3 linked regions of the Neodiprion lecontei genome follow. The protein of the gene in region 2 purifies or fractionates together with the protein of the main gene of each other region. This does not show direct contact. Links are inferred from orthologs where the notes say so. Each region holds a gene or a part of one and is shown on either strand. Other genes may lie near its edges.

What was found.
Region 1: the proteins of regulator of nonsense transcripts 1 homolog (region 2) and 5'-3' exoribonuclease 1 purify together in Homo sapiens (affinity purification with western blotting; 4 studies listed by BioGRID and IntAct, with this or other methods). This does not show direct contact. The link is inferred for Neodiprion lecontei from reciprocal best matches to the Homo sapiens genes UPF1 and XRN1.
Region 3: the proteins of regulator of nonsense transcripts 1 homolog (region 2) and protein CASC3 purify together in Homo sapiens (co-immunoprecipitation; 5 studies listed by BioGRID and IntAct, with this or other methods). This does not show direct contact. The link is inferred for Neodiprion lecontei from reciprocal best matches to the Homo sapiens genes UPF1 and CASC3.

What each region holds. Positions count from the first base shown.
Region 1 is NC_060263.1:41,907,532-41,914,525, reverse strand, and holds the start of 5'-3' exoribonuclease 1, read right to left. Parts: upstream 3,739-6,994; 5' UTR 3,563-3,738; coding exon 3,488-3,562; intron 3,166-3,487; exon of another isoform or gene 3,038-3,165; coding exon of another isoform or gene 3,020-3,037; intron 2,349-3,019; coding exon 1,908-2,348; intron 1,738-1,907; coding exon 1,290-1,737; intron 1,120-1,289; coding exon 869-1,119; intron 674-868; exon of another isoform or gene 659-673; coding exon of another isoform or gene 587-658; intron 1-586. UniProt on the Homo sapiens protein: Major 5'-3' exoribonuclease involved in mRNA decay. Required for the 5'-3'-processing of the G4 tetraplex-containing DNA and RNA substrates. The kinetic of hydrolysis is faster for G4 RNA tetraplex than for G4 DNA tetraplex and monomeric RNA tetraplex.
Region 2 is NC_060265.1:24,664,167-24,673,951, reverse strand, and holds regulator of nonsense transcripts 1 homolog, read right to left. Parts: upstream 7,111-9,785; 5' UTR 6,775-7,110; coding exon 6,595-6,774; intron 5,738-6,594; coding exon 5,454-5,737; intron 5,246-5,453; coding exon 5,090-5,245; intron 4,957-5,089; coding exon 4,638-4,956; intron 4,496-4,637; coding exon 4,221-4,495; intron 4,136-4,220; coding exon 1,993-4,135; 3' UTR 558-1,992; downstream 1-557. Other genes in the region: ATP-dependent (S)-NAD(P)H-hydrate dehydratase, read left to right, coding at 8,097-9,113. UniProt on the Homo sapiens protein: RNA-dependent helicase required for nonsense-mediated decay (NMD) of aberrant mRNAs containing premature stop codons and modulates the expression level of normal mRNAs.
Region 3 is NC_060262.1:37,919,374-37,929,339, forward strand, and holds protein CASC3, read right to left. Parts: upstream 6,739-9,966; 5' UTR 6,723-6,738; coding exon 6,576-6,722; intron 5,534-6,575; coding exon 5,103-5,533; intron 4,845-5,102; coding exon 4,697-4,844; intron 4,493-4,696; coding exon 4,338-4,492; intron 4,232-4,337; coding exon 3,819-4,231; intron 3,732-3,818; coding exon 3,480-3,731; intron 3,263-3,479; coding exon 3,230-3,262; intron 2,636-3,229; coding exon 2,379-2,635; intron 2,238-2,378; coding exon 1,587-2,237; 3' UTR 507-1,586; downstream 1-506. UniProt on the Homo sapiens protein: Required for pre-mRNA splicing as component of the spliceosome. Core component of the splicing-dependent multiprotein exon junction complex (EJC) deposited at splice junctions on mRNAs.

The sequences.
Region 1 (6,994 bases), on a different chromosome or scaffold from region 2:
CATAGTCATAAGTTGTACATTTATCTTTCAAGTATTCCACCAATTTTCAAATTCTTGGTTTTCACTTCTAAAATGGGCTAAAAATATGCCCAACATATGACTCAAGCGACAATGTTGTATTATTCTTTGTTCAGTGACTATGAAAAAAAGGAATCCAAATTAACTAAAGAAATTTGAACATTTTTTTCCATTTTCTAAAAGTTTAAAAGCACCTCCCATAGTCACCCTGATTGGCAAAGTGGGATTGTTTTCCCTTTGGTTGATATTAAAAAAAAAAAAGAATTGTGTACTGAAAAAAAATTGTTCTATAGAAAAATACTCGACATGCAACTCTGGATGAATGCAGCTCTTTGGATGTGGGTGGGTAATTTTTAACAAAATTTTGTCAATTCGAATTTTTTATTTTTTTATTTTTTTTAGTAACCACTAGACGAAGAATAATCCCAATTGTCACTTGGTATATATGTTAAGCATATTTTTAGTCTATCTTAGGTGAAAAGAAAGAATCTCAAAATGGCCAGAGTACTTGCATATCAAAAATACAACTTTTCATAGCATTTTTTAATACCCGTATGTAAAATAAAAGCACATTATATTCCAGCAAATTTTACGGTGTTTAGATATTAGAACCCGGTGTAAACAAGCCATCGAGAAATGAAATCTGAAATTTTATTCGAAAACCGTAAAATTCAGTCCAATTTGACAGGGAAAAAAGAAATACACGCGCGGATCCAACAACGTATAAAAGAGTTCTAAGCAAATACTGATGAAATCCCCACAATGAAACACAATAAGAAGCAAAACTGCATTCCCTACAAGTATTAGCATCGATTTGTGATTGCGCATTCGAAGAACAATGTTTACATACCATATTGTAGGTAGATTTAATTAAATCTTCCAAATCTTTATTTCCCGGATTTTTTGCTGAGGCTTCTGACGCATCTTCAGAATTGTGATAAGTGTGCCTTTCCGTTTCATTTGGCCTTCGACCGGTCTTGGATTCGAAATATTTTAAATCAGCATAATGCTCTGCAAATTGTTCAATATCCACCCGACTTAGACGTTCCATTAATTTTTCAAAGCGATCCAACTTCAAAGTACCGCCCTCGTTTATGTACCCTGCAAGACATTGCATTGTTGTATCAGCAAATATGATTAAAGAAGCTCGATTATGATTGATTATTAGATCCGTTTTAGCCGATGACGTCAATCAAGGGAACTGAAAATTTAGTATCATATTGAGACAAACAATCATCAAAACTACCGGCAAGCAGAATTATTGAACCAACCGTCCAGTGTAGGCAGCACTTCCATGTAAGCCAAGTATAAAATTGGCAGGGCACCGTTAGCGATATGTAAATTTGGCAAATTTGGAATAAAATCGTTTCCAACCAGGAAACCCATTAGTACCCAGTCATCGATAATTTTCTCAATGTCATAGTCAAATGAAAGTTTATCCTTAAGTGAAGAGAACTCGTGTTCGATATATTCTCGCATTACTGACAAATGAAGAAGAAAAAATGTGGTTTCCTCAGGGGTGGACACTCGCTTCTGTTTATTTCCAAACTTTATTTCTTCCCTCAGCAAGGAGAAATGAGGTTCGTGCGTGCACAGACCCAGCATTATGAGATCAGCATCCAAACCGTACAAGCAGTGCCTTGTGTTACTGTCATAATTCGATTGAGATTTAATATATCTAATGTAATCCATGATTTTGTGCTCTCCTTCACCTGGTGTCTGAAATAAATTTTTAGGTGAGGAAATAGCACGTCTCGTCAAAAGAAAACAGTTAATCATGAGAATTCCAACTGAATATATTTCAAAACAGTTGCGCGATATGACATATTTATTTTGCATGACACCTGATACAGGAAAGTCTGTAGAAAAATCTAGTGGTATGCAGTAACCTCATGTCCGCTCAGTATCACTTTGCACTTCTGCCAAAGTTTGTCCGTTGTTATTTTGTAGGTGACAAAATATTTGAGTTGCTCATTAAGACGTGTCATGAATACAGTTCCTGGTGTTATACAGTTGGAGTCAAATCGTGCCTCCTTCGGAAGTACTTCGCCCCTTTCCTTCGCTTTGGCTTCTAAAACCTCAGCTTCTTTAGCCGAGCGAAATCTGCGGCCCCTTTGTTGATTCATCTTAGCACGTGGTGCTACACCGTCGACCGCCATAAAAAATAGCTTTTGTGGTTGAATCATGTGAAACAATATTTCAATATAATGAAATATGTCCCGAAATATTTTTTCTTCCGATATACGAAAGTGGGGATCCAAGTCATTCGGATGAGAACATATGTGAATAATGCCATTCATATCCAAGTATAAGTTGTCATATTCAGGTATCTGAAAATTGAAAGATATTGTTGAAAAATGATATGCTTTTTTGCAGAAACTGTGGCATATACTCTTAGAATAAACTTTGGATAGCCGACATCTCTACCAAGGTCAAAATTGAAACCTAGTATATTCCTGCCCAGATACAATAAGTTGCAGCCATTTGTAATAAATTACATTACGCCTGTTCTACTTGTTTTTTGCCCATCTGCGAGTAATTATGAAAAGACCTGATTATGTTACATGATTTACTGATTAAAGTAATTACGAATTTCATTGTTTTAATGTTTTGGAACATGCACAAATTTTTGGATTATGACAGTCTATGTCATTCAAAATAATTTGGCTTTCGGCGATAAAATTGCACATGCAAGGAATGTTTCAAAAAACTCATTTTTCAATGAACTGCGTCAAACACTACTAGCATGTACATTTTAATCTTAGAAGGCTAATGCCATTTTATCTTGATGTCATACATGGTATATTGCCCAAGTATCATCTGCACTAAATTGAACAAAATAATATTCATTTTAAAATCTGAAAATGTCTTCAAAAAAGTTGCGGTTGTAAGATGTCTTTTACATTATTACAGGTTATTGAATTTTTGTCAACCCTTAGTTTACAGAACAGAAATTATTTTGCAATATTCATCCGTTACGTTAACATTATAAGACTTTAACCTGACAAGTCTGCAACATGCCTGACACAGACTTGTTAGCTCCGATGTCGAGTAACAGATTTTGTTACGATAATGTTCTGAGGTCGGCACAGTATTCAATCGCTGCGATAGATTTCAAACGATATAAGCTGTTACACGACTGGAATCAACAAGGATATCTGATTTATGAATCATAATCGTGTGCAAGTATCGGGCCAGTTTATTGAACCAAGTATTTGTAATCACTGTATTTGGACATGGTATGAAATGGACTGATCACCAGTATGCAAGAATTAAGACCAAACCAATTTTTTTTTAGAAAACAGGCTGATTGAAAAATAAGATCTGCGATATTTGTGAGAGCATGAGATCAGCTATGTCTCATTCATTTCGTTCAAGGGATAATTAATGTACATTTGTAGATGTGGTTCGATATTGTGATTTCGTAAGAGCATCATAATTGTTCAATTATAAACTTGTATGTACACACCTGATATTCCCTGACAACCTCGCTGAGGCATGGATATCTTTCGCTCATATACCTGAAGAATTTTGGCACGCCCATTTTTATGCCTCACGTAATGCTAAATTAGTATCAATCGTAAACTTACAGTTAGCACGCTTAAATATTACTTTGATGGTTCACATAAATGTATTTTATATTGATAATCACGTAGAAGACGTGAAACATAACCGTGTGTAACACCTGACCAGATGCTTAGGGTGCCACCACATGGAGCGTAACTTGCATATTGTAGTGATTCTGGTAATTTAAACGAAGTTACGCCATTCACATGAAGCGTATGTGACGTCGGAACAGTACCTAGTGGAAATCTCCAGATGTTAGACACCGGAAACATTCACACGCAGCTACAGCTAGACTCACATCAGTAGTTTGGGTCACCAATTACCGATTAAGTATTGAAATACACCGGACAACGGGCATTCTGTCGCTCTAGTCGAACGAACCGAAGAGGGAGAAATTGTTGGATAAAAGATTTAATTTGGCTTACCTTTTTGAGAGTATTCTGGATGCGATGACTTGTAGATTGGTGAGAGGTTTGAGCGGAATAACTGACTTTAATATTTGGATACTTTGACTAACTTGGTTTATTTTATAAGTTTGATATTTAGAAGTCACAAACGCAGAGTTACACAGTGTAAGATCTTAAACTTAGTATGACAAAATGGAGTTGAAGCTCGCTGAACTTTTGGGCAGAGTAACGTTGTATGAAAGTTTAAATGCAAAAGGCTGAAGGATTTTACCGCGAGACTGTACCGGAACTAGATCACGAATCTGGAGGTAGAAACCGAGAGAGCGATCGAGTGATCGGTCGCCCTTTTTATAGGGGTCGATCGTTGCGCAGAACGATCCCCCTCTCTAGTTTTTTGGTCACCTTTGCGCACCTCCCCTCTTTTCTAGGAATTCTAATTAGGGCACGACATCTTCGCCGCATGCACGCCTGTTATCTTAGTCCATTGGCTATTACTATATTGTAGGTTTTTACGTATGGTATATCGCTGCTTGGTGCGGTGGTGTAGGTGCGTGGACTTTGTTCCGTAGTTCTCCGAACTGCGTGAGCTTTTGGTTGAGGCGCCAGCCCCCTTCCTGGCGCCCGTCAGCCACTTAACTTCTTCCTGTCTACCTCTTAATGTTTTTGCTATCTTGCTCGTTACAAGGCCCATATTTCATTTTGGTCACCTGTCGTTTGTTAGTTTTATGGCTATTTCTATATAGAGTTACATATGTATCATAGTCGACTACTGTCGTTATTAACCTGGAGTACAATAGCGATTGTTTATAAAACATAGTTTGTTATTTGCTTAACATTATTAGAATTGCGCTGCTGCGAATATCCTTAGCTGTTTGTGTTATAACTATCTTAACAGATTAGTAATTTGATAATTCGTCGCTTTAGAGCAGGCTTACATGTGTGCTTTTTGTATATAACTCCTTTCTGTAGTTGTTAATTCTTATATTGATATAAATCGGCTTGGAAGCTTCTAGAACGTTTTCGTTTCGTCGGTAAGTTCCCTACTGTATTCTCTAGGTGAAGCTCTATATGGCTCCACATTGGAGATCTGCATTGCCTTCAAAACGTTGCGCGTGTTGCCTACAATACGGCGTTGCGGAAGAAGGTATAGTTCATGCTGGGTAATTAGCATTCACGGTTTGATGGTTTTGCAGCCTCTGATTTTATAGGTTGCAGCAGTGCTATCTTTACATTATATTGGTTATGCATTTATCTATGGTTTTACAATCTTCTATACTCCGGGCTATATAGTAAAGCGTATATTGCTTATAGTATAGCTCTCACCTCCGAATGCACAAATGGCATTGTTGAGTGCTATATAATAATTGGGTATAATTGTGTTAGTTAATTATAGTGTTAATATGATAGTGATATATAATAACGCATAATAGTATTATAGTTCTCTGTGGTACGAAGATCTCGTAACATGGTTTTTAAGCCTTGGCTAGTGAATTTCATAGTTATTTCCATCTAGGGATATTCCAAATAGTTAGACAGTTGTTTTAATTTCTTATGGTTACAAGATTCTCGTACTTTAAGTTTGGTTAGTTGATAAAAGTAACATGCAGTAATAATAGTCGATAAAACATACGGACGTTCCGGTCGGATGTTACACGTATTTCATTTTGCGCGTCATGCGTAACTGATACAACCAATTGTAGATCAGACCTTCTGCTGTACACTCGAAAGGAAATGCTACGCAGATTTTCAATAGGTTATTATAACATACGCCTTTCAAACAGTACGCGTCATAAGGGTGTAACATCCGACCGGAATGTCCGTATGTTTTATCGACTATTACTACTGCATGTTACTTTTATCAACTAACCAAACTCGAAGTACAAGAATCTTGTAACCATAAGGAATTAAAACAACTGTCTAACTATTTGGAATATCCCTAGATGGAAATAACTATGACATTCACTAACCAAAGCTTAAAAACCATGTTACGAGATCTTCGCACTACAAAGAGCTATAATATTATTATACGTTATTATATATCACTATCATATTAACACTATAATTAACTAACACAATTATATCCAATTATTATTTAGCACTCGAAAATGCCATTTGTGCATTCGGAGCTGAGAGCTGCAGCTATAGTACATGTACTATAAGCAACTTACGCTATACCATATAGCCTGGAGTACAGAAGACTGTAAAACCATAGATAACTGTATAACCAATATAATGTAAAGATAGCACTGCTGCAATAATCCATAAAACCAGAGACTGCAAAACCTTCAAAACCGTGAATACTAATTATCCAGCATGAACTATACCTTCCTCCGTAATGCCGTATTGTAGGCGACACGCGCAACGTCTTGGAGGCAATGCAGATCTCCAATGTGGAGCCATACAGAGCTTCATCTAGAGAACACATTAGGAAACCTACCGACGAAACGATTGAAGGTAAATCAACTCACAATAAAGTCAAAGATGCATACGTGGCAACGCCCAATGACAGGCAACCAACAAACATACGAAAAACGTTCTAGAAGCTTCCAGGCCCATTTATATCAATATAAGAATTAATAATTACAGAAGAGAATTATATACGAAAGCATACATATAAACCTGCTCTAAAACTATGGATTATCAAATTGTTAAATACCCTAAATCTGTTAAGATAATTATAACACAAACACCTAAGAATATTCGCAGCAGCGCGATTCTAATAATGTTAAGCAAATAGCAACTATGTCTCATAAACAATCGCTATTGTACTCCAGGTGAATAACGACAGTAATCAATTATAATACATATGCAATTTTATATAGATACACGCTATAAAACTAACAAACGACGAGTAACGAATATGACATATAGACTTTGTAACGAACAGGATAGTAAGAATATTAAGAAGTAAACAGGAACTAGAATTCAGCGCATCGTGACCCCGAAAATGCACACCGCACTAACATAAAACATGAGTCACCACTAGCGCATACGCACTGCGA
Region 2 (9,785 bases):
AAGTAACTGTTTTCATGTTTAATCGTGGAATAACTAATTTTTTCAAGATATTTTTATAGGCCTCAATGGACTTGTACGTAATATGTTATATCATAAACATTTATATACTATCCCAAGTGCCAAAATTCAATTTGTAATAAATATTTTGATGCTCAATGAACTTAACTCTGTTAATAATATTATACTCGAGGTATGCAAATTTATGTAGTAAAAAATTAAATACGAATTAAATTCATGTAGAAGCGAAATGTTTAGTTTGTAATAACTTCGTGTTATATTTTGGAATTTTGCAAATGCCATTGAAATAAAAAATCCTAAATTATTAGATAAGTTGATACTATTAAATTATTTTTTGTAATCTTGATTTTGTTGTTAAATAAATACATTGTTTATACCTGGTTTGAAATATTCTTGATCCCAATATATGGATAAACGTAATAAGTAAAGGTTAGTGAAAACTCTCTACCTCCAAACATTCCATTTTTTTGGTTTGTTGAAGCCCAAGATTTTTAAATTTTGTGTAGTATACAGAAGTATCAGAGAAAATGATATGCAGATATTTTTAAATCAAATTTATTGGTACCATAAGATTTTACAACGAATCTTCATACTGTAATTTATAGCTAGTGGTGCGTTTTCGATCCAAAAAAGAAATATATTAATTTCGCGATGTATTACGCTGATTATTATTCCATAATAATAATGCTATTGCTGCCAAATTAGAATATAGATAATTTTGTAACAACGAAAAGAAATAATCAGTACTACACCATTGATATTTCGGCTGGATTAGTAACTAAAATCCCCCCCAACACTCTAGCGGACTATGCATTTGTGTGTGTATCCCTTATTAAAAATAATATTAAAACTTTAAACGATCTTAAATATTGTGAATAGGTGCATTTCTTCATCAGACATCCACCATGTCGCACAATGTTATCAGCGATAAGCACTCTTATCCACAATGTTTCAAGATGCAGGTAGCATACTTTCTGTCCGATTAATTGGTGGTATTAATCCATCAGTAAATAAATGACCTAAAGAAAGTAAAATAATCTAGTTGCAGTTTGGTTTGGCTTTAGCAATAAATAAACATTGAACCAACAAACCAAAACATAATAAGAATATCGATCTTTGACGTTAATAGAATGTTTAGTTTATGCCAAAATATTGAAAGAAAAATGAAAAAGAAATCTAACTCTATGTTGAAGCATAGATTACATTACTCGATGGATGATTAGCGGCTTCATAAATTTCACAAGGATTTCGTCCTGTGCTCACTTGAAATTTATGCGCTTATAATTTTCGGCATAAAATTTATCGTTTCTATGCGTTTCGACATCTAGAGGATGAACAGTAGAGGTAACTTGTTAACAATGATACCTCTCTGATGTCTAGAAGATAGTTAGTTTTCCAAGTTTTTTCTATCGGAAACTTAGACAAAATTTAAAAGAACTGAAACGCTTAACAAACCCTGCACCTTACATAACTACCTCTGTCGCTGGCATTCAAACAATCTAGCCAGATTGGCCAGTTGGAGTTAAAGGTACGAAAGGTTGCCAGAAATTAGAGGAAGAAAAAACGTTACAGATCTTCCACATTTTGTTTAAGATATAAATGTGCCGATCAGCACTTGTCGCCTTGCCATGGGGTGTCTGGTCGCATTACTGCTATGTCGGCGCTTGTCAATTTAGAAGTGAATTACACGTCCCATTTTCCAGTGTCACTCGATCCCCGCGATAAAACGGTCCGTTCACTTGCGTTGCGGTGTTACTCATATCAGTTTGTCATCATTTTATAGTTGTCCTCGGCATGGTCACCTCTCATCATACCGACGACTTGTACTATATGTACTCGTTTGTCGAGCCGTTTTACCGTTTTACGCAGTTGGTTGGTTTGTATTTTTTGTCGAAGAAGAGTTGGTTTAATAAGCCTTCAGTCGCTCCCGCGACGCTGCATGGCGAATGCGTTGTTCAGCCGTATCTTTTCGGCTCAGTACGGTTGGGAGAACTGGCCTCCTGCTTGCGACTGGCCTGACTGGTAAAATCCGCTTCTATCTCCTTGATAAGTAGAATCCTGAGACAATAAACCGTCCATTTGTGACTGAAACTCACCAACTGCAAACGAGTCTTGTGACAACTCCGCCTGACTAAGACCCGGCTGGGACAGGCTAAAACCTGGCTGTGACATTCCTTGCGTAGTTCCTTGAGTAAGCGGGAGTCCTGGTTGGCTATAGGGCTGCGTATTTTGTTCCGTTTGACTGAGTTTACTTCCCCGAAGGCCAGCTTTGTTTTTAGCCGAAGTTGCGCCTCTGCGATTTCTTAGATTCTGCCTTGCTTGTAGGGCTTGCTGATGTTGGTTGTAGAATCGTGGTGGAACATGAGCCATGTTCATGAACATTCCAACAGGAACCGGAACATTGTTCATAGCAGCTTGTGCTCTCTCTGGGCTAATGTAGCTGATCGTATCATGAGTTCTGCTGAAAATATCTAGCGGAACATTTCTCTGGTAGTACGGATTATGATTTTGAGTACCGTTCACCTGATTACCAGAACGATCGTAAACAGAGCCAGGAATTAGAGCTTCTCTTGCGTCGTACATAGAAGTTGACATAAAGTGAGATCCTGGGTTAGCAGCATTTACCAGTTTCTTAGGCTTGGCAAATTGAATCATGGATTCTTTCAAATTATTCAGGGGTCCTTCGACAAGAACTTTCTGTTCCTTATAGAAACTAAGCAAGTGATTCCACAGAGGCTGCTTTGACAACACTTTTGGATTTCCAACAATGATTATACCGTACTTAGCACGAGTAAGTGCAACGTTCAATCTTCTAGGATCGTTTAAGAATCCAATTCCTTGATGTTCATTTGACCGAACACAAGACATGATAATTATGTCTTTTTCTCGACCTTGGAAGGCATCGACACTGGCAACCTCTATTTCTTGGTAGAGTTTAGAGTATAGAGAACCTTGGTATTGCATGTACTGAACCAGATAAGCTCTCTGACCTTCATACGGTGTGATTACTCCAATCTGTTCAGGTTTCACACCGCAACGTAAAAATCTGGTGGTAATTTTTTCAACATTAGAAGCTTCGGTTCGATTAAGATACGACGTGCCGCTACCGGCGATTTCTTCTTGTCCTTGGGTTACGTAAAAGAACATTGGCTTGTCAGGCGCAGGCCACGGAAAATCAATTTTCAGTAACTTCCGTTCGTCTGCACAGACACCGTTTTGCAGAGAGCCTTCGTAGAAAAAGTTGGATGGGAACCGAGATAGGTCTGGGTGCATACGGTATTGAACTTCTAAACGGAACGGACGAATACCCAGTACGACAAGTCGTTCAAATAGAGATTGAGATAGGCCAGCTCTAGCTGCTTTTTTGCACATTACAACTGGTCCTAGTTGGCAGTGATCACCAACTAGAATCAATTGTTTGGCTCCCAAGACTACAGGCACCATGCATTCAGGTTCCGTAGCTTGCATGCTTTCATCAATCAAAATCGAGTGGAATTTCAAACGGTGTAATCTTGGGTCTCCTGCACCAACGCAGGTGCAGCAAATGACGTCGGCAGCCTCCAAAAGCTCCTTCTCTGCCGTCTTTTTTAAAAGTCTATAACGTTTTTCATCAACACTCGATAATTCACCAGTTTCATCTTTCAATTGCTGCAACTTTTGCAGTTCGTTATTTGTTTCCATGTTCTTTATTTGGTTATGCAAAGCAAGGAAACTGACAGGCGAGTCAATAGCTTCTCTCGACTTGGCACATAAACGCACAACCTTTAAATTAGACTTATGGATCTTGTCAGTCAATTGGTCGACGGCAGTATTAGAGGGTGCGCAAACCAATACGGGACCTCCGTTTTGTTTTACTAGCTGGTAAACTATGGTTGCACTAGTTACGGTTTTACCAGTACCTGGAGGCCCCTGGATAAGGGACAAAGGTCTTTGTACGGCATGTTTGACAGCATAAACTTGTGATCTATTCAGATCTGGTAGATTTGGAGCGCTAAAGTGTTTTGGAAGATGGCAGCGAAACAATACTTCTTCAACTTCGTGACCAAGAAGCCTGTGATAAATATATCCAGACACAGAGGAGTCATCAACGGCGAATTTACGTAAAGCCAGTTGCATTCTGAAATACATTAAGCACGTTTTACAAACACAGTAAATTTAAGGTTTATTTAGCGCCAGAGTTCATAGTATTGTATCTAATGTACCGATCGAAACTCGTGCTTTTCCAAATGAAATCCACAACAAAGTTGCTAATGCATTCTGTTGGTGCACCTGAGTTATTTTTTAATTCAATGCCAACTTCCTCTCCGTAATTATCAGGTATCTTTATCACATGGCCAATTCCTGACCATGGCTTGTGGAGCTCTCCTAAGTAACGCAATCTCAATTCATCACCATGCATCAGTTTCATATCACCATCCGTTTTCGCAAGCATGAAGTAGGCAATGGTCTTCTTGTTCAAACCTACGTCCCAGCGTACCTGAAGAAAAAAGAACAATCGAATAAAATGAAAGATTAAAGACGACTACCGCATTATTACACAATTAAGAATATTATGAAATTTATTATTTCTGGTGTACAACCGTTATATTTCGAAATGAAATCGTTGATGGTCAACAAACCTCTATGTTTTCTTGCGTCTGTGACTCCTTAAGGCGCTTGTCGTAGTCAGCTTCCAACTTCACAAGTGGACCAAATATATTTTGATATTGATATCCATCTTCGTATCGCAGAAGAACTTGTTGCGGCTCTTCATCAACCCCTGGTTTTTCTAGGTCTTGAAACGTTGCATCTACATTGTCTCTCCATAACTCTTCCAACTTGTTCATTTGTTGAGCAGACATTTGCCTAGCTCTCAATTGCTCCTGATCAGATGGGATCTTAACCAACCAAGCCAGAAAACTGCGATCCGCGATTAGTGGTTTCCATTGCTCCTGATCCCTAGTGGTGGTGTATTTTTTCATAATTAATTCAGTTAATTTCCTCCAAATAAAATAAAAGCATTTTGGACCAAAGGAATGAACACTCGATCCATAACCCAATCGTCGACAAATGTCAAAGTGGCAATACTTACCAATTCATATCCTTCAAAGAGCTTTGGGCGGCACAGGGTTGTCGACAAAGCAACACCACCACAGAGTCGGCTTTGGCGGGAATAAAACCCAGCACAAAAACATTTCTTACACCACAGGAGTAGCATTCCAGTACCGTTTCACCTAATGGTCCATCTCTGTGAAATTAGTGATCAATGTTGAATTAGCAACTTTTGATATGAGTTTTATTCACATTATTTTAACTTGTTCGTCATGAAAATGCCGGTTCCTTTGGACGGGATGTAATTTTCGGCCTCGTTAAGTCAACAGGAGGTTATAAGTGCAGAAATTTTGAAACAGTATGAAAAATGTCATCTTGCATATTAAAAATGTTAAATCTTTTACCTGTGCAAAGTGACCTCCTTATGTTTGGCACGGACCAAGTGATTGATGATATGCGAACCACAAGTATTGCCACGACCATTGCAGAACCATTTGCGACATGCGTTGCACATAACGACACATGACGCTTCATGAATGCCGCAGTATTTGCAAGCATGTTCTGGCAAGTCTCGATTGTAGTATGCTTCCTCTTCTTCCTCTTCAAATTGGAGTTCGGCAAGACTTTGAGTAGCGCCGGTAATTTTCAAGTCGAGCGAAGAACTACCACCACCAGTTGTGCCATTAACCTACGTGTAAATAATAAAGATGCGTATCAATTAGTGATTGTTAAAATTGAATAATTTCATTGTGAAGTTGAAATGTTTTAATGAATAGCACAGTAATCCAGATGGAACGAAAGGGGTCGTAAAAAGTGTCGAAATATCACAGTTATATCATTATGGAAGCTTCTTATCAATCGTCAGCACCACTTTTGGCAATTATACAACATAATCGTACAGTTTTAAACATGTGTTAATGTTATGCCTATAAAAGCATTAAATAGATGTACTGTTACATCTACCAGAATGTTTGATGACTATTTGTAAAAGAAGGAAGGACAAGAATTGAAAAATCTACATTATGCTTATATTGAATGTAGCCAAAAGATAGATATTGTATTGACAATAAACTTGAATAAAGATTAAAGGGCATAAATAGAGAATGGTACAGAAGCAAATTAACATTGTGTTATTTTATATTCCATCGTCAACAATACCAATACCAATTTGAAGAGCTACTATCTTAGAGTAAGTTCAACCAAAGATGGGCCAATGAGCAGCGAACAGAGGAGCGACCTAAATTAATTGATTGTTTTCGATTTGTTTTAAATGCATGGGAAATAAGTTGAGTTTGTAATAGTTGCCAGATGAGGTACGGCATTGTTCGGAGCAGTGGTTATGTTATGATTTCTCAATTCGAAGAATTTGCGAAACACATGGAGGAAGATGGAAGCATATAAATATGAGCTTTCAGCCTGTGAGAATATTCAATCGCTGATCAAGGGAATGGGGATGAATTTTGATAGTGAAGTCTAAGTAAGGTTAGGTAGGTACGGGCCGCGTGGGCGTCCCGTCAATCGGTTTAAAAAATACTTTTGGCTTACCTGAACGGGTTGGCTCTGGCCTCCGTCGTGCTGGGAAGCCTGGGTTTGACTGGGTGAGGGTAAAGTGAAGTCAGTGAAGTCGAATTCGCTCCCCTGCGTATCTGCCCCGATCAAATCTGCTTCCTCCGTGTCGAGGAAAGTCAGGGTTTGGCTGCTAGGCCCGTACGCGTCGACACTCATGCCTAAAATTTCTAATATAACCGCAGCCACGCCCGATTGTAAATAATATTACTAGTAATGTACGCTCGCAACTGTTCAGAGATGTCTGTGGAAAATACAAAATGCAACCGATGTAACTAGCCACGAAATCCTACGCCATATTTCGCTTGTGCCCACCAGCGCACCAACACCAATAGCCGAGCACACTACTTTTTCTCTCCGCCACTCGTCGCCTGTTACGTCATCAGCTGATTTGTGATTGTCACAAGGCTACTGGAGGCCCTGGAGACGGAAGGGTGTCTCATTTCTTGACTCGCGACCCTCGAACATCGAATATCGCTTATCGATGTCACGACTCTCGAGTTCCTAACCTCGTTAGAAAAATAATTAACCTACAATACTATCCTTCGTGTCAACAAAGATGCGCGAGAAACGTTTTCATATCAATACTTTTATTCGAATTTCTTCAGTATCGCATAACTTGGTATTTTACTTTCGAATAATCGCCGAAGGGTTCAAATTCTCGGACAATGCTCGATGGGTAAATGATAATTCTTGATACTCGCTCGGACTATAAATTTTTATTGTGCGTTTTTATCAAGTATTATAAATTTCAGTTTTTATTAAACTATACCGTCGTCGGTCATCGACACTTTTACCTACCCACGATTGTTTCTACATCGTGGAATTCGCAAACTGAGCGTTTGCAAGTTTGTCGCAGATAAACGTTTCATGTTTGTCTGCGATTCAATTTTTATCATTGACATTCTCGATCGTTTGTTTTTCTTTATTTTTTCCGGTGAAATTTTCGTCTCAATTTTTGATAAATTTACAGTTGAAATTTAATCAATTTCGAATCCCAACGGTACTCACGAAATTACATAAATATATTCAAAATTGTAAGTTATATTTTTAATTCGACGTCGTTCGTATCCGAGGCTGAGCTTCTACGTCATGCTGATAGATGGCACCCGACAACCCTGCGATAACTATTGTTATCATTTAACCTTTCTGGCCGCCAACGAACGTTCAGTGGTTTAGTTATACTTGGCGCGTTCGCTCGTCGAAAATATTTACTCGACGTTGAGAAAAGAATAAAGGTAATTTGCTTCTGTCGTGGATACAGTCGCTTAACGCGCATAGCTTTTACGCCGCCTCAAAATTTGTGAAGTCATGCAACCGACGGCCTACAGTCCAACATCCGCAGTTTGAATCACTCTAATTCCACATACACTCGTTACGGATAAATTGATCGATTTGAAAAAGTATAAATAAGCCAAGAGTATCAGTTCTTCGTAGCTTGCTTGTGCTGTCGCCACAACTGTTCACTTAACCACGAATCTATGATCTTCGCTACAAGGTTGTTTATGTGTAGGTCTACCGAGCACCTGTTCAAATTCAAATATTCAACAATGGCTTCTTCCGCCTCGAACGTTGACGAGCGGATGCTGAAGGCTTCCCGGAGGATAGTCCCGGTCTTGAGCACCTCAAAATACAAGGGTCAGGACGGAAGGATTGGAATATTTGGCGGGAGTGCCGAGTACACCGGAGCTCCGTTTTTCGCAGCATTGAGCGCACTCCGAGTCGGGGCTGACTTGGCCCACGTATTTTGCACGAAAGATGCGGGGGTTCCCATAAAGTCCTTCAGTCCGGAACCGATCGTGCATCCAGTTCTCGACCAGCACGATGCTGTAAAGCAGATAAAACCGTGGCTCGATAGGCTGCACGTGATCGTGATTGGTCCCGGTCTGGGAAGAGAAGAGAAGGTCTTCAAAGTAATCGCGGACGTCATCGTGATTTGTCGCGATCTGAAGAAGCCCTTGATCATAGATGCGGATGGTCTCTTCCTGATTACCCAGAAGCCAGAACTGGTCAAGGAATATCCGGGGCTTATCTTAACGCCGAACGCGATGGAGTTCTCTCGACTGGCCAAGGCCTTTCTGGAAAAGTCGATACAGCCGGCTCCGGTCGCTAAAATATCGGACGTTAAACACCTCGCCGATGTCATCGGGAAAAACGTCGTCGTTCTGCACAAGGGTGCCAAGGACGTGATCGTCGATGGTCACAAGGGCACGGAGACATTGTCCTGTGGAACTTCCGGATCTCCGAGAAGATGCGGAGGCCAAGGTGATCTGCTGTCAGGAGCTTTGGCCGTCTTCTACTGGTGGGCCCTCAGTGCTGGGCCCAGTGAGTGTGCCTTGTCCCCGGCGATGACGGCCTCCTATGCTGCGTCCAGGTTGACAAGAGAGTGCAACGCTGCCGCGTTCAAGATCAAACAGCGAAGCATGCTTACGACAGATATGATTGAATTCATACAACCCGTATTCGCTAAATTGTTCGAAACGCACGTTTACAAATGAACTTCACGTGATGTGACTCTTGACGCACTTATAATTTGGCCAAAATTATCATTCTTACGAATTTTAAGCTATTCATACCGTGGAATAACTCTTCGTTTTTAGGTAATAATACACGAATCTTGAAATAACTCAACTCTTGTACTTCACTCGCTTTCTCATAACGTTTCATTTCGTATGCTTACTGACAAGATAATTTGCCCGAGGTGGGGATAAGATTTAATAAAATACCGCCAACATTGTATATTGTCATACTTCATCTCAAGCTTGGTTTAACGCACATCATACAAGTATGGGAGCGTGATTTATTGTGATGTATAAAAGAACAAAAAAGTTTTCGATAAATAGAAATAAAAAAAAAAAAAAATGCAGTAAAATAACGAAAATAAATACTAAGTACTGTTCATTGTATAAAATTAATAATGATGAACTCTACGCTATGGTTTGTATTCTACGATAATTAATGTAGTGATAATTTGTTGCTTAAAATGTCTATGTTAAAAAATTTGTGCGCTAATAGTTTTTCTAAAATTTCTGCAAACACGCGGCAAAACGTCAGTCGATGAGAAATTTTTAGTACTAAAAAGTACAAGTATAATAAGAGCATATTGTTGTGCCATGGTATTATAAATGTAAATTATTAACTGCCGCCGAATACCGATTTATGATCATCTA
Region 3 (9,966 bases), on a different chromosome or scaffold from region 2:
AAACACTTGTTGGCATGAAGAATGTATTATAGCTCTTTGCATAAATCTAACTTACTACAATTACTACTAATAACAAGATTTCACTGCGTCAATTTGATGATGTTATATTTTAGTTTCTTCCAAATTGGAAATTATTTTTTCATTCAATTTGCTCGTTTTTGGTTTTTTTCAACTCTGCCAATTGAGGAACAAGGTAAGATTATTGCGCTACTTTTTCACGTAGGTACTAAAAATTACTAAATATAAATCGATCGCAATTTATCCTGCAATTCAATTTCTGATAGCATTAGGAAATAAAAATAGGTAAATCTTATAACCATACGACTATCATAACTACATCGATCAATTCGCCAAGAGTTTACATGCATTCATTATTAAAACTGAAACACGAACCTCGTGTTAATAAAACATTTATATGTTTCTACATGATTATAGAAAAGTAATATTTTTACATTTATGCGGCATAATTCTTCTACAAAGACGTTTTAAACAAAAGTCAGTTTAAGTGAAATGAAACGTTTTTATTACACACCTTAAGTGTCCAAAACTGCTTGGACTATTTTACAATTTCGCAATCATCTCTTTTTTAGTCGCTTATACTAACTGCTTATACAGACTGAATAATTACAATACAAATGTTACATTTGTATGTGATATCTATTAATTTATGATTCTATTTATCATAATTTATCTATCTTCTTTTTTCTGATTTTACCTTTTCTGTTTAATTAATAATCGTATGTTATATCAATGGCTACTCAACGGTTAGATAAGCACGGCAAATGGCTAGAACGAGTCACAATCAAAGTTTATATCAAACAAGCCTGTTCGTTTTAAATGATATCTTTGACTTTTAAAAAAAGATATATCAGCTTATGAATTCAACAAAATTCAAGAAGTTAGTATATCTTATATTGTTGATTTTATAAACTTTAAACATTTGCATATGAATAAAAATCAATCTTAAATATGTTTTTATTTGACTGAATTGAGGAAATGGGAAAATCGATCTGAAGCAGGTGGAAGACCTAGAAAAATCTTGTGCCAAAACAAAGGAGAGAGTCGCTAACAAAATAAAAACGTGCTGATGTAACACTGGCCCGGCCAGAGAGATAAAGTTAAAGTTATAACTTTGTCGAAAAAGAATTTCATCCCATGAGACTTTTACAATGCAATTAATTATGCACAATGTGAATATAAAATTCAAATTGAAACTGGCAGATAATAACGCCAGATAATTAGTCAAAATGCAGATAATACGAAATTATCCTTTTATTTTGCAAGCGACGAACTAAACTGGTGAAATACGGATACCACCCCAAGTTAGTAATAAACATAACATAACATGTACAGTAGTCGATGGCTGATGCACGATAAATTAGCGATTGCCGCGACATTATTCGCTTTATCGCAATTTTGAAATTCTCCAAAATATTTTCACTTTTTCTGATGATCATCACTCGTTAGTTATATTTACGTGACATTCAATGATGATGACAGTTTCATCAACGTATTCACATCATATTAACTCACTGTTATAGTCAATTGAATATGATACGTGATTAAAAAAAGCTAAGTGTAAATAACTAGGCAGCAGCTTCCTCAACCGCGGGACTTTCCATTACCTTATTTTCTATTTTCGGCAATTCAGGCTCTGTAGTATTAATTATCACTTGTTCAGCGGTTTTGGTAGTTATGACATCATCACTTTCCAAAACATGTTGCTCTTGTTGTTGTAGCTGCTCCGTTTCTTGTTCATTGTCTTGCCGTTGCTCTGTCATTACGACCACATCTAAGCTGACCTTCAACTCTTTTGAAGTTTCCGAGATATTGGTGATTTCAGAATTGGATATTACATCCTTGTCTTCATTGTCGACGGAATTTTCTCTTACTTCAGTGGTCTCATTAACCGCAAACTGATCGATTAGTACCTGCTTCTCTATCTGAACTCCAGCAAATTGTGCCTGTACGAATTTCCCATCGCCTTCCACCATGTTATTCTTACTTTCCGTATTTGTTCTTTGCACGCCGCCAACTGGAACGGAAATGATTTGTTGTTGTATTGTTCTACCTCTACCTCGACTAGTCATATGTTGCTGATTGTCAGGTGGCGGAAGAATAGGAATTGCAGCCTTTGGTCGTCTCATAGGAACTGCATGCTGTTGTTGTTGAGCAGGGCTGTAATAGGTACAACCCTGTGGCTGAAAGAGTTCTTGGGGCGGCGGCGGCCCTTGTGGCTGAAAACAAAGATATTGGTTTTCGTTATTACTCTGTCGTAATTAGGGTACTAGAAGATAAGTTAATTTCTAAAATTTCGTTGCTCATTGCAGGACATTTCAGAAATTAGCTGCTAATAAAACTACCATTTATCAACCAACCTGAACAGGCGGACTGAAGCCTTGATAACCCTGGAAGTTAGGTTGAAAGGCAGGCCCGTTCGGTCCCTGTACGTAATTAATCATGCTTGGCGGTGCACCCTGAGGTGGTAAGAACTGAGGTGAAGGTACCAAAAATGGAGGTGGAGCAAAACTTGCTGGTTGACCACCTGGAGGCAAGGGAAGGACCGGTTGTCCAGCTAGAGGAGCTGCCGGCGGTGCTACTGGTGGAGCCTGATCAAAGTGACCCGCAGGGTATCCTAAAATCATAGAAAAAACTTTTGTAAGTAACTGTTCATATTTATTTAGTGATTGAAAAGTAGGCAGCTGATGTTTCATCATCTGATCCAAAGTTTCCTCAGATTGGATAACTCATGAAACTCGCCAACACATGCTTTTTCACACATTTCATACACAAAATATTTTACACGAATAAAGCAGAAGCCTTATGGATAAAACATTTTTTAATTACAAAAAAGAAAGCATATATCCCAAAGTGCATAGGAAATCTCAAGACTTGCACTGTGAATTTATGAATAGCGATCACAATCCTTATTTTCAAGTAACAATGCAAAGATGAGGTATACTTCCCATGCTTGTGTGGATAAAAGCCACAAAGCACAAGTCATTGAGAAGATTATAACTGAAAGTAGTACGCTGAAACTTGATCTGTCATTCACTTTGTAAAATAACATTGAAGTCAGCAAAGCTAGTACAATGATGTTGCAAACTAATTAAAAGTGCATTCTCAACATGTAATTGTCAGATGATCTGCAAATCAATGAACAGCATCAAACTAGAGAAATAGTCAAATCGCGCACACGATACTACTGAATCTTTTTTGTCAAATTTACCTTGGGAATCTAGAACGCCTCTTGAATTTCCAGCTAAGAACATGTGAATACAAATGTTAATACTAAAAGTAAAAGTTAATAAATTTCGGTAAAATATACAATTAGCCTACAGCATACACGTCACGTTGACATATTCGAAAAAAAGTGCAGCATGGTCGTGTCAAATAATCGTTGCATCGATCAGGAAATATTTAGATGAGGTTATGTTATAAGATCACAATAAAGCGAATGATTTCGACTGATTAAATACCTTGTGGGTAATAGCCATGTTGACCATGCTGAGGCTGGTAGCCTTGCTGTCCAGGACCCTCTGGAACTGGTGGGCGCTGGCGTAAGCTTGAATACCGTTTAGGTCTGTTACCAGCTGCGTCATGCTGCTGTTGGCGAGCTGATTGCTGCTGTGCTGGCTGCTGCTGTTGCTGTGGTTGCTGGTGCTGTTGTTGCATACGTGGAGGAATCGTACCAGGTCGAACTTGGCCTGGAGATTGGACATACAAATTTTCTGTAAAGATAAAAAATAAGCTGTTAGAAAAGCTTTGCAAGTCAAGATGCTCGTTGATCATATTGTCAGACAAGCATAAAATCTTACTGTTCTGTCTGCTATTCTGTTGAAAAGATCCTCCGTCATTGACATTCATCTGTTTCATATCGGTAATTATATGATGATCGTCGATGTGATTATTGTCTGAATTATTTCGCCTATTATCAAGTGGAACTGAGCCAGATCCACGACCTTTAGCTTTATAATCCAATCTGTTGGATCCTGCATTGTTAGTGTTACCACTCGCTTTGAATCCTCGACCTCTGGCTCTACTGGCTGCCAAACTCACACTCTCCTGGACCTGCCTTTTGTTCGAATCACGAGGCGAGGATTTGTGATTCAGTAATTTGTCTGCATCACCACCACCACCGCTTCCATTAGAACTTTGACTATGCGAATTCTGTTTCACTTCCTTCTTCCAAGCTGGATTTGTTGGCTCATTAAGGGTTCGCATTTCGTTTCTATAATAAAACATTGATGTTGAATTGATGAGTATGTTGGGTAAACACTTTGTAAAATAGTTTGCTAGTGGCATTGTATTTTTACTTTTTTTTTTCTCATACTTACATCCCAGAATCATTTGTAGGACTAGTCTTCGAGTTTAGAGACTCATGCTGTGCTTGGAGAGGTGGGAAGTTTCCTGCTTTGGGTTGAGATTTGTTTTTGTTGCTATACCACGCCGAAGTGATAACTGGTTCTTCTGGTGTGGTTGACCTGTCGTCCTGTGAAAAAAACACACCTTCGTTAGAGACTACATACACTTGCTTTGTTGAACTGTAAAAAGATACATCTCAAATTGTTCTAATTCAACGTGGAACTAATCGAGTATTTAAACATCGACTGATACTAACAATAAGTAGCCAGCTGGTACAGTCACCTATTGCGTAATTAATTCAAAACAATATGATCAAAATAGAAATTCTCACCTTATTATTGCCACCACTTAATGCAGGAAACTCTTCTCCACTTCGGTTTGTTTTTCTAACACCACCTCGGCCAACTGAAGGAGGACCACCTGGCTTACCATATGCATCTTCATCCTCCCAGTTTCGCGTGTATTTGTTTGGACCGCGACTATTATTGGAATAAGGATAAGTTAGCAGAGTACCAGAAACTTTTACACAAACTTGATACTGATGAATTAAGAGTAAGCATGGTGAAAAAATTTTGTTCTTGTAGACAGTGATCAGACTTTCGTTTGCTATGCAATCAATATTTTTTATTGTAGTTTTTTTAATTCTTTAAATGTTTTAGCTGCCAATGCTGATAATATCTTGCTGAATAACAAGTTTCTAAGACTTTATAGTGAAATGGTAATTGATGTCTATTTACCCATATCTTCTCCTCCGTCGAGCTCTAGGCGGGCCTTCTTCGTTTCGAATATCGTAGCCATAGACAGCTACTAGTTCATCATGGCTCTTGGGTGCTTGTTCATCGTCATTATACCTATCATGATCCCATCGATCCTCCTTGTCTTTCCAGACTTTCTTTTCTTTCACCTCTCTTTCGTTGGGATTTTCTACTTTTTCTTCGGCTACCTCCTCCGTTGTTCTGTCATCGTGTTCGTAAAACGTACCTCGCTTAGGGATATACTGAGGATTACGTCTGTCTTCATCGTCATCCAGTTTTCGCTGCGGCTTGTCCTCCTCCTGTCCATCTCCACTCTCCCGTAAACCGCCATCCTGCGAGTCTGCCTCAGACCTGCTTTCGCCTGTCTCATATTCTGAGTCACGATGCTCCTCACCCTCTGTAACTTCGTTACTCTATTGGATGAAAAAAAATTTTTAGTCGAAAAAAGAATTTTTTTGTCCCGTAGAAGCTCAAAATTAATTGAAAACCAAAATAGGCCCTACAAATGAATGACCTAATCTAACATATAGAGCAATTACTGTAACATCAAGCCATAAGTGAGGTACAGTTATGTATCTGGGTGAAAGGCAGCCTACCATCCAGCTCCAGTTTTCATTTACAGAAAAATAAGAAGGCCAATGTAACTATGCAATAAGAAATAAGCTACCAATCTGTTTCTAGTACAAACTCACGCTTTACGACGTGTGACCATAGTGACGATTATCAACACGTCGTCAGCGTCTTACAAGCATTAATTGGGGATATGAAAATTGTTTAACTCAATAACTTGAAACAATGATTGAAATTAATTTAAAAATATTCATTCAAATATATAACTCGCATTTAGCAACAGATGGCAATCATTTTTATACATTTTTCCCAGTTGATATGACGATTGCCAGTGGATGTATTGTCCTAGCAGATAAAAACGGAGAAAACTAAACACAAACAGTGGAAAAAGTTGCAATCACATAAAGATATCAATTTCCGCGTTGTCGAATGAACGTGTTTATTTTTCGGCATACAGTAATATATGGTAAGGACGAAAGTTTACATTTTTTACAATTGATTCGACGGCAGAAAATCTGAGATACTAATCTGTAAGTACACGATGCGTAAGTGTACAGTGTCTATATCTATTGGCACGGATATCAAGATGATTCTAAACAGCAGAGAATTCAGGCTAAATATAAGTGACATACGAAGGGCATAACCTGCGAAAACGTTGCGGCAAATTTTTTTGCCGTATAATTGGATGGCACATTACTGAATAGAACTTTATCAGAACCTGGGGTGATACACGCAAATTATAACGAGAAATCTTTGAACTTTCGACCTCATTTCTCCGGTGCGATCAACCTTCATCGACAAACGGTCAAGTCAGACCGTAAATACAACGCCCGTTTACGTTTAGAAATATAGATGTTGAAACAATAGTTGTCAAATAAAACTAACCTGGGTTTCCTTAGTTACATGTAACTCCTCGTACGAATCCGAAAGATCTTCAGATCCTCCAGAAGTATTAGACTTTCTACGACGCCGTGTATCCGACATAATTAGTTCACTGAAGCTACACACGTTCGAGTTTTGCTCGTACTCCATGTTAGACTGTACAGAGACTGACCGATTCGCATTCGTCGCGTTCGTTTTGTTCGTTGTCCCCCTAGCGTCGTCGCGACACACTAAAATCTACTGCCAACATGCAGTCAGTATGATGCAGAGTGGGGGGAGACTGAGTGACCATAGAACCCGCGACGTTCGAAATTATGATATGCGAGACCCCGTTATTTCATCAATGTTCTTATGGACCCCAGATTGAACACATTGGTAAAGAAAAATAGAACACAACATATGTCATTTTGGAAATCAAATGCCTGTTCAGAATCTGAATCAGAGTGATATTTTTTTTTCAATACGAATATCTCGTCACCACTCGTGACGTTTACTGATGGTATACATACATGCAAAGGCTGCTAAAACATGCTCTAAGGCACTGATGCTAGCCTTAAGCTGGATTTTTACGGGCGTCAAATTGACGCGATGACAAATTAACGCGGCAGTGTCACGCCGTCGCGTCGGCAGCAAAAAGACGCCCATGAAAATGACTACCAACGCACCGGCAAAATGCCGCAAGTATGAACTACGTAATTGAGTGGGTGTTTGTCAGTTGCGTTTTTATCTAATAATTGAGAAATCGAGGATTGTTAATTGGAAGTGCACTGAGAAAAATTTCATTTGTTAGAGTAACTAGAAAAATTCAGTAAAATAGGTATCGTTAAATGAACTGTTTGAATATTGTTGGAATTACGAAAAACGACGTACACGTAACCATTTTGCGCTATTGTCGATCCTTTTTTGGTAATTGCAACGCAAAATCAGTTTCTGAGGTTTACTCTACTTTTTTGGTTAAATTAAATTTTCGCAACGGTTGCAAGAAAATATAGTAAAAGTGTTCGTAATGAGAAAGAATAGTAACGGATACCAGACTTTCTGGTAACAGCTACAAATTTAATTTTCATTTTGTACCTAGAACTATATTTTTCGATTGTGGTAAAGAATAAAAATAGTTACGGACTGAGCGGTAACCGGAACTAAAAATTTCTCTCAGCGTGTGAACAAACGGAAAAAATGGAGAAGCAAGAAGGAAATGAAATAAAACGGTAGCAGTTTTTCGAAGTAAGAGAATAGTATCGTTCATTTTCATTATTCCAGAATCGTGAACTCGTGCATATTTAAGATGCCTCTTCATACATTTATTACCGCATAGCCCATACTGAAAATGCTGCGGTGTGTCCAGGGCCTTTCTTTTGGACGATTAACAATAACAAAAATAAAATCAATGATTGATTAATTTGAATGAATTACATGTATTACGATTACAAAATAATGAGAATGAATGAAATTATTTTCTCATATCTCGGACAGCAATTCATAGATATTATAGACAAGCTCTATGGAATGGAGTCCGAATATGCTGCCGGCAACGAATCAAGAGTTACAGTCGAAAAACGAAAGATTTCCTTCGTGATTCCTCTGCTGTTGATCCTACGCTGTTTTTGATGTTTTTACCGCATTCCTAAGGGTCCAATCAGTGGAAAAAAAAGACCTGCAAAACGATTCTGAGACGAAAAGTTTCCGAGCTCTAAAAATCGCAAAACAGCAAGGCAGCAGCAACCCCTTTGGATTTTTTCGATGAATCGATAGCGCGCAGTTTGAATACGCTATGACTAACGGTGTTCGGCCCTGCATGCCCGAATGTTTTGTTTTCATATAGTTTTATTGTATAGTTACAGGTAATTTTCAAAGAAAACGCTGGGTCGACAAACGGGAATTCACACATACCTGAAAGGGATGAAAGACTTAGGCCAGGTCGGTTCGATTCTGCTTTATTGGACAGACAATCGCACCACATTCTGCAAGATAATGACCGCCATGCTTTGTTCTGCCGCTGATAGACAGTAACCATGCTTTCTACTAATAATACAGCCGTCGAAGGGTACCACGGAACGCTGGCTTTGTATGCATTTACAACATGCAGGTACTCGCCAAATGTGAGTGCAGACATTGCTGGACAGCGCGTTCAAAGGAGACCGTGAGTCACTTTTATTGCTTTATGGTTTATTGTTAAAACCGGAAATACTTTATTGCCATGATCCTTATGCCATAACATAAAGGTTAACGATACCGTTAGGTTTAAGTTATATATTTCTTGTGGTTAATTGCTTTTTCAATAAATTGCTCATCGCACTTCAGTCTGTTGTAATTACTAGGTATAATCAATTGAAACCTACTCTAATATTCGGTATTATGACTAAACACCTGTACTGTTAATTACGTTTTTGAATAAATTACTGATTTGTTGTTAAATAGCATAGCATAGAAGAAATAATAGGCCCTTAGAACATTCGTCCTAGGGAACACGAACAAACGGATCAACAGTTACGATCGGAAAGTGAAAGATTTCCTTCGTAAATCCTCTACTGTTGGTCACACGCTGTTTTCAACGTCTTTCGCATTTCTGAGAGTCCAACTACTATAGAGTAAAAGAGCTGGAAAACGATTCTGAGAGGAAAAGTTTCCAAGCTATGAAAATCGCAAAAAAGCAAGACTAACCGCTTCAAATTTTTTTCAATTGAAATTTGGCTGTTTTGAAGAAAAAGTTTGATTGATTCTCTGATGCACTAGGTCGACGTAATTGAGAGAGAAAAATCGATTGGACGTAGTAGTTCCAATGCGCTGCGGGAAATGGATCAAAAGTTACAGCCCAAAAACAAATGATTTCCTACGTAATTTTTCTGCTGACGATCCCACGCTATTTTCGCACCTTTTTTTGTCTTTCTGAGGGTTCCGTTAGTCAGGAAAGTGTCATACGAATCAAATCAAAGACCTGAAATTTTTTGCCCAAAGAACAGTAAGGCCTTTGCATTTTTGACGACTTTGAAAAGTGCTGAACGAAATTATTTGATGCACTATTCCGACGTAACTTTGCCAACGGAATCGAGTACGCCATTAGCTACTTCATCTCGCTGTTTAATTTTTTTATTTTTTTTTGCACTTCCGATTAACAATCCTATAATTTTAAATTCTTCAAATAAAAATTTCATTCTGATCCATTGCGATCCAACCACGTGGGCTTCTCCGAGCGGGATTTTGCTGTTTCGTCAGTACCCATTCTCATGAGCGACTTTTTCCGCCGACGTCGAGGCGCTGCGTTAATTCGACGTCCGTGATAATCCAGTTTCATGGGGGAGGAAATTAATTTATTGTCAAACGGTGGTCAAGCGGCGCTCTCTGCGTCGCGCAACTCAAGTCGGTATGCGGTCGCTATGTAAGGGCGACAAGAACT